Saccharomyces cerevisiae S288C: one gene and its partners. Changing the gene in region 2 together with the main gene of any one other region gives a genetic interaction. Each region holds a gene or a part of one and is shown on either strand. Other genes may lie near its edges. The genes, in order: IRS4, MDY2 and SLY1.

The links.
Region 1: mutations in MDY2 (region 2) and IRS4 together harm fitness more than expected from each alone (negative genetic interaction), as found in Saccharomyces cerevisiae (2 studies listed by BioGRID).
Region 3: mutations in MDY2 (region 2) and SLY1 together harm fitness more than expected from each alone (negative genetic interaction), as found in Saccharomyces cerevisiae (3 studies listed by BioGRID).

What each region holds. Positions count from the first base shown.
Region 1 is NC_001143.9:476,378-480,135, forward strand, and holds the start of IRS4 (Irs4p), read right to left. Parts: upstream 1,687-3,758; coding exon 1-1,686. Other genes in the region: VPS51 (Vps51p), read left to right, coding at 1,961-2,455; ALY1 (Aly1p), read left to right, coding at 2,857-3,758. UniProt on the Saccharomyces cerevisiae protein: With TAX4, acts as a positive regulator of INP51 activity and phosphatidylinositol 4,5-bisphosphate turnover. Negatively regulates signaling through the cell integrity pathway, including the MAP kinase SLT2. Also seems to be involved in rDNA silencing.
Region 2 is NC_001147.6:107,642-110,938, forward strand, and holds MDY2 (Mdy2p), read right to left. Parts: upstream 1,256-3,297; coding exon 617-1,255; downstream 1-616. Other genes in the region: Rab GTPase-activating protein MSB4, read left to right, coding at 1-547; SHR5 (Shr5p), read left to right, coding at 1,535-2,248; ZEO1 (Zeo1p), read left to right, coding at 2,656-2,997. UniProt on the Saccharomyces cerevisiae protein: Required for efficient mating. Involved in the production of alpha-factor, the KAR9 and TUB1 location to the shmoo tip and nuclear migration into pheromone-induced shmoos.
Region 3 is NC_001136.10:836,593-840,350, reverse strand, and holds the start of SLY1 (syntaxin-binding protein), read right to left. Parts: upstream 1,960-3,758; coding exon 1-1,959. Other genes in the region: chaperonin-containing T-complex subunit CCT6, read right to left, coding at 2,290-3,758. UniProt on the Saccharomyces cerevisiae protein: Able to suppress the functional loss of YPT1. SLY1 is essential for cell viability. May interact indirectly, or directly with YPT1.

The DNA of each region.
Region 1 (3,758 bases), on a different chromosome or scaffold from region 2:
TTGCTCGACAACATTGGGAAGTTTTCTGCCATACAGGCACTGATCGACCAGCCACATACCCACAATAAAAGATTTCCTATCTAAAGTACCATCTTTTCTTGTGTCTACCTTCGTGTAAATTTCTGCCAATAGACTATTGGGCAAGTTAGACCGCTTCCAGATATCACGGACTATGATACCCAATATCAATCCATCTTCGGGTAAAGTATTAATTGCTCCGGAATCACCCGTTATAGAGGGCCACCAGCTCAACAGGTTCAAATGACGGTGTCTGTTGCTTACCCACATGCTTTCGTAACGCTTCCTTTCGTTGTCTGTTACGAAAGTTATATCTGTATGTGATTTCCAGGGTTTATCCTCATTGAATTTCCGATCTCTCGTGCGGTGGATAGGCCTATGATGTGCAGTTTTATTGGCAGAATTCCTGATCTTTCTCTTAATTCTATCTCTTTTGCGTGGCTTGGTCAAGGCGTCCTGGTTCTGATCAGATTCAGAATCAGAATCAGTATCGTCATACACATCATACGTGTCGTTGGACGGATTGTACTTATACCTCAGATTTCCCTCATGTAGAGAGGATGCATGATCATTTTCTGCGTTTGTACTTACAGAGGTTTTACGTAATGTTGTTTTAAATCTCATACTCGGTTGTTGTTCATGTTGTCCCAGTTCTTCGCTGCTTGCATCCATTTCATATTGTGAAGATAAGTGCTTGGGCTTACTACCAAATACTTTCCTTTTGAACTTGTTAACAAGCTTCTTCTTCCTCATATCGGATGAATAGTTCGGAACCAAGTTGGGCAAACCACTTCCCTGGTTGCTCGTTGTAGTAGTAGTGTTTGAGCTTGCAATAGATGGCTCTGATTCACATAACGAGAGTTGATTAATTGTTTGAGATAGACTTGTTTGTGACCTATTAGAAATAACGTCTGAAGTGTCCGGATTGAGACTATGTCTGGAATCGATGCTAATTGATGATAGGTTTTCATTTTCATGAAGCTGACCACTGCCGACAAGTGATGATTGCAAGGGAGGAGACGGCCTGCGTTTGGGCAGAGCTTTGTTGCTGTCTTTATTAGTTGCAGGCTCCATAGAGCTCGAGGATAGCCTTCTACCGCTACTAAAGGAAGTAAGTAAATTCTCTTGAGATCTATTGTCGGGAGTTCTTTGGCCAGGCGTCAGTGATTCATTGGAGCCGTTTCTTGAGCTTGAGCGTGAATGAATGCCCAGCAAGCCATTCAAGTTCGGAGTTTCTAGAACTTTTAGTGTATCCAATGCCGAAGAATGGGAGGAGTTATTGTCAGAACTAAGTTTCGATTGTGAATGCGCTAAAGCAGCTGCCATTTGAGCAGTACTACTAACATTATCTTTACCTGCAGGGCTTGACCTGTGTTTCTTAGACAACTCAACATCATTAGGCGCCGTTGTTTTAATCTTAGGTACCTGTTTTGTTCGTATGCGTGCCTTCTTTTGTTCTTGTTTCCGCCCTGACTTTTGTAGCGATGGCTCTGATAACCTAGTTTGAGGATTCCTGCTCACCGTTACTGGAGGGCATGGACTGCTGACCTCATTGGAATGGTTCTGGAAGATAGCTTGCGCAGCGCGAAGGGAATCTGAAGCTCCTTGTTCAGTCAAAGTTACTGTTGTACCGCCATGATAACGCTGTTTACCAAACGAAAGTCTCATACTCCTCTGCTAATCTTTTCCTATGTCAAAAAAATGAATCTACCCAGGCCTTAAAAGTATGTTCTACCTGTGCAACGAGAGTGTTGTTGTGGCAAGGGTCCATTACACAATGGGCCTTTTTGTGATGATTCAACTTCGATATGCTTTATACGAGAAATCATCGAATTTTCGCTGCGTGGAAACAAGAGGCAGTAAGTTGTACGTATAGGTGAGGCTCTGCATAGAAGAGGCGTATTTGCGGTGAGACGGAATCTGACGAGGATATTAAGTACAGATGGCAGAACAAATTAGTCACAAAAAGTCCCTGAGGGTGAGCAGTCTGAACAAAGATAGAAGATTGCTCTTAAGAGAATTCTACAACTTGGAAAATGAACCGAATAAAGGTCGTCAAGAAGCACGTATAGGGGAAAAAGCCAGCGAGGCTCATTCTGGGGAGGAGCAAGTCACAGATGTGAATATAGATACCGAAGCAAACACTGAGAAACCAGTGAAAGATGACGAATTGAGTGCAACTGAAGAGGATCTCAAGGAGGGGTCAGAAGATGCAGAAGAAGAGATAAAGAACCTGCCCTTTAAGAGGCTAGTACAAATTCACAATAAGCTCTTGGGCAAAGAAACCGAGACTAACAATTCTATCAAGAATACCATTTACGAAAACTATTATGACCTAATAAAAGTCAACGACCTTCTCAAAGAAATTACAAACGCCAATGAAGACCAAATTAACAAGTTGAAGCAAACAGTAGAATCTTTAATCAAGGAACTGTAATTTCCAGCGGCATATCGTGGCTTTCACCGAACACTTCCTTCGAGAGAGTGCATTTTACTATGTGAACCAATTTTTCCTCTTTTTCGGTTTGCAAGTTCACCTGAAAAACTGCTTAACACTACTAGCAATTGCCCTATTGTCGTACGAGGACTTTGCCAAATGTATTCCCGGCTGTTTGTAGTATATATACGCAGATATATAATAGCGCCGTCTTTTTACCTCTTTGAGCGAATTGCCAAATATTGACTCTTTTGTCTTATTTCGCTATCCCCATCTTATCAAAAATGGGAACAACTCGTTGAAATAAGAGACAAGCAACAAGAAAGACAACCAACAGAAAGTTCCATTCCGCACAAATACGCTGGAATCCCATAGAATATTGCTTGTTCCTCTATGACTACATGCTCCAATTCAATACAGAAAATGATACTGTAGCTCCAGTGTTTCCCATGGAGCAAGATATAAATGCAGCACCTGATGCCGTCCCACTGGTGCAGACAACAACACTACAAGTCTTTGTAAAGCTTGCCGAACCCATAGTGTTTTTAAAAGGATTTGAAACTAACGGACTGTCTGAAATAGCCCCCAGTATCTTACGAGGATCTCTTATCGTCAGGGTGTTGAAACCGAATAAATTAAAAAGTATATCGATAACCTTCAAAGGAATATCCAGAACAGAGTGGCCGGAAGGTATACCACCGAAGAGAGAAGAATTTTCAGATGTTGAAACTGTTGTCAATCACACATGGCCATTTTATCAGGCGGATGACGGCATGAATTCTTTCACCTTAGAACATCACAGCTCAAATAATTCGTCCAATCGCCCATCTATGAGCGATGAAGATTATCTACTTGAAAAAAGCGGTGCTTCAGTATATATCCCACCAACCGCTGAACCCCCTAAAGATAATAGCAATCTAAGTCTGGATGCCTATGAGCGCAACTCATTGTCATCCGATAATTTGAGTAACAAGCCAGTATCAAGTGATGTTTCCCATGACGACAGTAAACTGTTGGCTATTCAAAAGACACCATTACCATCATCTAGTCGAAGAGGATCGGTACCGGCAAATTTTCACGGTAACTCTTTGTCACCTCATACCTTCATATCTGATTTGTTTACAAAAACATTCAGTAATAGTGGCGCTACTCCAAGTCCTGAGCAAGAGGATAACTATCTTACACCATCCAAAGATTCTAAAGAAGTTTTTATTTTTCGACCGGGCGATTATATTTACACTTTTGAACAGCCAATATCGCAATCTTATCCAGAAAGTATAAAAGCCAATTTTGGTTCCGTGGA
Region 2 (3,297 bases):
TGGCAATGGCAGCACTGACCAGATATCAGGGCCAGCATCGGGGGAAGAATATCTCTGCAGGCTGCCTACGCTGACGCTGTGTACGGCAAGTTGGTTTATGAGCTGTTTTGTGGGCGTGGTGCCCATCGAAACGACCCTGAGAATATGGGACTGTTTATTCTATGAAGAGTCTCATTTTTTATTTAAAGTGGCTTTGGGGATACTGAAATTGAGCGAAAGCGAGTTTTTGGAGAGTAAAAGCCAGAAACTGTTTAGACAGTACTCTTCGTACACCTTCGGTGGTAGTAATGACTCTGATTCAACTTTCAAAAGATTAAAGAACAAGATTAAGACGCAGGAAGAGGCAGATATGGAGATTTTGCAAGTGATTCAAAATTTCCCAAAAAGATTGCTCAATCCGAATGATATCTTTGAGAAAGTCCTGATGAAGAAGAAGGTTGCGTTGAATGGTATTACCCAGGAAAAGATTGATCGCGGTAGAGAGTATGTGGCGATGGCGAGAAATAGACAAAGGGCGAGTAGCCGCCCAAAGGAAAGAAGAAAATAGTAAGCGCAACCGTGATAAAAAGCGCAACTGTGTAAAATAACAAGTATGTACGTACTAACTATACTAATCTTATTTGGCCAGAGACCAGCCTTTTTGTAGACGCTCCATGACTTGCCTAACCGCAGCCTGATCGTTCTCGAAATTGTTCTTCAGAAGAGCCTCGATATCATCCCAGGGCACAGTGAGTTCCTGTGGAGGAGCAGGAGCAGGGGAGTTAGTGGATTTCTCGGCTTCGGGTTCCTTAGATATAGTCGGATTCGGCTTAATCATGACTGTGATTGTGGAATTGGCAGGCGTGACCTTCAAATCCGATAAGAACAGGTTATCGTGGAGGACTTTGCCCTTCAAAAGCAGTTTTATCTCGCTTATGTGGGAGGCCTTTTCCTCGCTGATCAAGTGCTGTTTTATTTGTAAGATAGTATCTGATGGGCTGAAATCATGCTCGATGGAGAACTTGGGAGCTTGAATTTTCTTTAAGGTTAAGTGGACGGCGGCGTTGTCTTGACCTTGCTGATCTTGGTGCAGTTTTAACTTCTTGGCACGATTCTGCTTATATTTATACTTCAAAGTAGGCAACGGGACACCCAAATTGGTAACATCCTTCAGAGGTTTAGTATAGCTTTTTGGTAGCTTCGGTTCAGTTAAAGTGGCTAAGGTCAAGAATTTACTAACGAACTCGTGTTCTGGACCGCTGGCGGATGTGCTCATGATTAATTTTGTATAAAGTTATTATTCTTCGCTAGTTTATCTCTGTATCGGTCTGTTCTAACCCTTTTCTCCAACTATGTTCTCCTGTGCATGTTTTCTTCTTTTCGTTTTTCCTTTGTTTTTTTTGGTCGTAGTTGTCGCAAGCTCGGCCTCCGGCCTGATTTTAAAACTATTCCTAATTCAAGATTCGGTAAAAAAGATATATAATAGCTAAGGGGAGGAGAGGAATAAGAGGAAAAAGTTACATTAGAGGACAATACTCAATCTAACCCTTACTAGATGTGCGATAGCCATCAAAAGGAAGAAGATAACGCAAATACGAGCGAAAGGGCGTTATTTTTTAATTACCATGAGTTTTCGTATTCATTCTACGAAGACCTCGGTTCCGAAGACGCTAAACCCACAGAGCACGACGAAGACCACAAATTGTGTATTACACATTTCCCGAATGTGTATGCTGCTCGGGGCTCTGCCGAGTTCCAGGTGACCCGGGTGGTACGAGTGCCCCGGCGGTTCGATGAGTCTCGCAGCAGCCTTGAAACGCCACAATTTAGTACACAGCTTCCCGGTAGCGAGCCGGCGGCAATCGTGGGCGACGATGGCACTAGCTTTGTGCGGTGCGGGCGTTACGACATTGGGGATCACGTGTTTGGCTGCTCCTCCGTCTCGCCTCTGTCAGAATATCTTAGTGCGGCAGAGCTCGCGGAGGTTGTGCACCGGGTAAACGGATTCTTGCTGCGTGAAGAAGGTGAGGTGTTCGGGTGGCGTAACTTAAGTGGCCTGTTGCTCGATATGCTTACGGGCGGTCTGTGGAGCTGGGTTTTGGGGCCCCTTCTTTCTAGACCTGTGTTTCAGGAGTCTCTCGCGTTAGAGCAGTACGTGGCGCAGCTAAACTCGCCGGGAGGTCTGCTTCACGAGCGCGGTGTGCGCCTAGTATTGCCCCGACGGTCCGGGTGCCTATCCCTAGATTTCGTCGTGCCCCGACCCAAATAGTTAAACGTGTGGTTTATGGGTGCACCAGGGCTTTATCGTGTTTTATATCGATGGCGATTTGTGCCTCCAGTGTATTTTTGTATATCCAATTAAGGTTTCTTACCTAATTTTATTTTTATCATCTTTAGTTAATGCTGGTTTGCTCTGTTTCTGCTGCTTTCTGTGCGGTTCTCCTCTTCTCTTGTTTCTTCGTGTTGTCCCCCATCGCCGATGGGCTTATATGGCGTATATATATAGAGCGAGTTTTTACGTCGAAGATCATCTCAGTTTGCTTGATAGCCTTTCTACTTTATTACTTTCGTTTTTAACCTCATTATACTTTAGTTTTCTTTGATCGGTTTTTTTCTCTGTATACTTAAAAGTTCAAATCAAAGAAACATACAAAACTACGTTTATATCAATTAATAATGTCTGAAATTCAAAACAAAGCTGAAACTGCCGCCCAAGATGTCCAACAAAAGTTGGAAGAAACCAAAGAATCTTTGCAAAACAAGGGCCAAGAAGTAAAGGAACAAGCTGAAGCTTCTATCGACAACCTAAAAAATGAAGCTACTCCAGAAGCTGAACAGGTGAAGAAGGAAGAACAAAACATTGCTGATGGTGTCGAACAAAAGAAGACCGAAGCTGCCAACAAAGTTGAAGAAACTAAGAAGCAAGCTTCCGCCGCCGTCAGTGAGAAGAAGGAAACCAAGAAGGAAGGCGGTTTCTTGAAGAAATTGAACCGTAAAATTGCTTCCATTTTCAACTAATCACACTTGAATGTGCTGCACTTTACTAGAAGTTTCTTTTTCTTTTTTTAAAAATAAAAAAAGAGGAGAAAAATGCTGTTTATTCTGACCTTTTACATAAATTTTTCTTAATTGTATCTATCTAATAACTAATCAATATAATAATAATAATACTAATAATAATAATAATAATAATAATAATAGTAGTAGTAGTAGTAGTAGTAATAATGATGATGATGATGATGATGGATGATCAAAAGCCACAAAAAAGAATGCTCCGAGAATAACCTCGGCGGTTATTTCACGTCCCGGAGGAAAAAA
Region 3 (3,758 bases), on a different chromosome or scaffold from region 2:
AATCTCATTTAAGAATTCAGCTGGTGTGGTAATGGCTGTGCTACCATACATGACTTTTTTGGGATTATGCAACTGGGAATGTGCCCATTCTTGGAGGTTTTGATATTCTAGGTAGTTACCGCCACCAACTACAAACACTAGTGACTTATTATAAGATTGTCTTTTTGGCTTTCTGGTATGGGAACCCCTTGTAATTTTTGGGTCGATGTATAGGTAACTGTCAGTAGTCTCCAAATTTTTTTGAGAGCTGTTTAAAGGGTCCATTATCGCATCAACAACATTTGTTATCGGGATGGTTTTCTTTTCAGGCAGTAACTTCTTAATACCTGATATTAAACTTCCTACACCTCCTTGTAATTTGCCTTCAGTTAAGCCATAGATACCGGATAATGTTAAGTTGCTTGGTTTGAAAGCGGAATCGGATCCATCTTCCAAAGATTTATTTTGTAACGACATATTTGATAATTGCATGAACTCTCTTAGCTTATAAACATATTTTAAAGCATTGATATCGTAATCGTTTTCCTTGAAATAGTTTTCCACATTTTGGACAAAATCCTTTGGTAAGCCTGTCGTTGATGTCAAGTAAAGAACAATAAACGATCTCAGTTTGTCCTCAAGATTGTTTGTCTTACCATCTTTTAGTATATCCAAAAACCTAGATCTTGTTTTGGTGCTTCCAGGGTCTTGTTCAACTTCAAAGAAAGTATCAAGACTTTTACTTTCCAATTGTGACAACAATGCAGCAAAAATATTCATATGTGTATCAATAGTATTTTTCTTAGCTGTTAACTCTGGCAGTTTCTTTACGACTTCCTGAATTTGAACCGTATCATTATTCGAGTTTGGGTCCAAATCTGATATGTTGGTAACACCAGTTTTCCTAGTAATTTCTGCGGCTTCCTCCTTGTACGTATTCAATGCCGCTTCAACGTTCTCTGCAGCTTCTGGGAATGGCAAATGAGAGTTTTCCATCCAAAAAAAATCGTTTGGCTCTATATCATATTTTTTCGTGGCTAATGGTTTTGCGGTGGTATTGTCAGTTCCGTTTTCCTTACTTTCAAGTGGAATAGTAACGGTGTTTCTTGATAATTTGAAAATATCAAAGACCATGCACTGATAAATCCACGAATGTGAAAACATGGAGGCAAAATCTATGTTTCTATCCAAAATAATCAACACTCCTCTTTCCAGAGAATCATTTCCCTGCAAAGTGGAAGTGGAGGAGGAATTGGTATTGATGACGAAATCACGTAATTTTGTACCCAGTTTCTCAGCGATGATCTCAGCAGGCCCACCCTTAGCTGCTCTTATAATGGGGATAGAATTGATCGTTAAGACAGTGTTGAATAAACCGTCCGCGATGTTGGCGCATAAGCCCGTGATTTCCTCTTCTGTGGTTTTCGGGTCATTCAATGTCAAGTATGCGTTTGAAATTTCTAGTGAGAACAGTTCCGGTTCAGTTACAATGAAGTCCAGGTATTGGTCGTAAACTTGTTTGATTTTATCAGATTTACCCGTGATGGAGACTTGTTGAGCCAAATCTTCCAGGAGGTTTCTGGGCAGAGATGAGGTAAAGTTGATGTAAAATTCAGAATACTTGTCGCTTTTCAAGTCATTGACTATAATGTCAATGTTTTCCTTTGTGGGGGAGACGAAATATATGGCAGGGACATCTGGCAAGGGAGATCTGTCTTGTTTAATCAAGGAATGAACGGTGATACCAGCTTTCAGCAGGTCATTGACTCTGAGAACAGAAGATATGGTAGCAGTGCTCTTGATGTCCAGTATCAACACCTTCCAGATGATCTCCTGCTGGTTAAAAATATCGTCTGTGATGGTGGTGATGTTGTCGTTGTTGTTCAAATCCTTATTTAAAAACAGCATTTTTAATATGGCAGAGATTTGCATATCTCTTAAACTAATGTCCTTGCGGGACGCAATTTCCTCCACAGCCATGATGTTGTGATTTTTGGTCAAAGATACTTAGCAACTGGCAATGACTATTATAAGTTATCATGTCAGGTTATTAAAGGCTGAGTTAGAATGGTGCTTCTTTTTTTTGTTTTTTTTTTGTCGTTTCTGCAATTACTGTGGTCAACGCGAAGAGGGAAACGGTGTTCTTTGGCAAAAATTGGTATGATATTTTATATAATAAATGTATATATACAAAATATGATGATGATGATAGTGACTGGAAAAAATATGTTACATAGAATTTTTGTATCTGACTACTATTACTACTAGTATTCGTGTTCTTGTTATTATTATTATTATTATTATTTTTTATTACTGTGGTGTTTCTTTCAAAGTGGATCTACCTGCCCTTAACAATTCATCGCATAATAACAAGTTGCTGGCAATACCTGTAGCACCGGTAATAGCATTTCTTAGTACGCGGTAGGAATCCCAAATACCCTCGATGGTAGGGTCGCAAGAATCACCTATGTTCAAGTCCACACCAACATATCTCGTTTCGTCAGAATCCTGAGCGTCATCCAACTCGTCCTCCACCATTGCGAGCACGTCCAATGGGTCGAATCCTGAGTTCTTCACCAAAGTCTTTGGAATTACCAGCAATGCTTCTGCGAACGCCTCAATACCTGTCTTTGTTTTACCCTTGGCACCCAACTTGTTCATGTTGGCAGATCTTAGGTATCTCGAAAGGGCGATGTAGAACGCACCAGCGCCTGGAATGATGTTTTTGTCCTTGAGAACGTTTGCCACAGCTCTGAGACCATCTCTCACCGCATCCTTTGTTTGAGCGAGGGCATAATGAGTGGAGCCCTTGATTAAGATGGTGCAAGACTTGGGGTCAGTGTTCTCTGTAACGTATGTGAATTTTTCCTCGCCTATGGTTTCTTGGTAGACCAAGCCAGAAAACCCAAGAATCTGAGGCGACAAGTCTTCCACAGAGTTCTGAGCTTCACCGCCAGTGACCAATTGCAATCTTTCCATGTTACGTCTCTTGGCCCTTCTCAAAGCCAAGATGTTGTGTTTGGCAAACACGTCTAAAGACATGGGGTCAATGCCTTTTTGGTTAATGATAACAAAACCCTTGTCTGGATCCATGCCACAAACTTCGTTTTTCAAGTCGATGATCTTCTTCAACTTGGCATCCACAAACTTCCTCTCACTAGCGGCCAACTTGTCCCTTTGGTCCGCAGAACTGTAAAAGAACCCAGAGTTAACTTCAGTCTTCTCGTATTCCAAAGATACGTTCAAAATCAAAACATACGCGTTCTTCACACGGGTGGGCATGTCAGGATGCCTACCACCGTGGTCCAATACCAAACCCTTAATAAAAGTGGTATCTTTAGGAGACAAGTGCTGCATCTGCATGATCTCAACCATGTGTAAATCCAAATTGTCAGCCTGCGCGTCGTACACGCTTAGCACCGCATCCGTTACAATGGGCGTCAAGACCTCCGTCAAGTCAGCGTCCACCTTGGTTAGCAGCGACGACCGGGCCACTTGCAGAAGGAACTCTCTATCATTGGAAAGGTTCGTCTTACTGATCTTGAATTCGTCCAAAAATTTCATGGACTCCTTCCGCGCAATCTCAAACCCATCAGTGATGATCCGCGGATGCACGCCCTCTTGAATGAAACGGTGCGCTTGTCTAAGCAATTCACCCACAAGACACACAACCGTCGTGGTCCCATCGCCCGTGATTTCATCCTGCGCGGCAGCTGCCCTAGCAATCAGTACCGCTGTAGGCGACTGGATCTGCATCTCGGTCAGCAACACTTTACCGT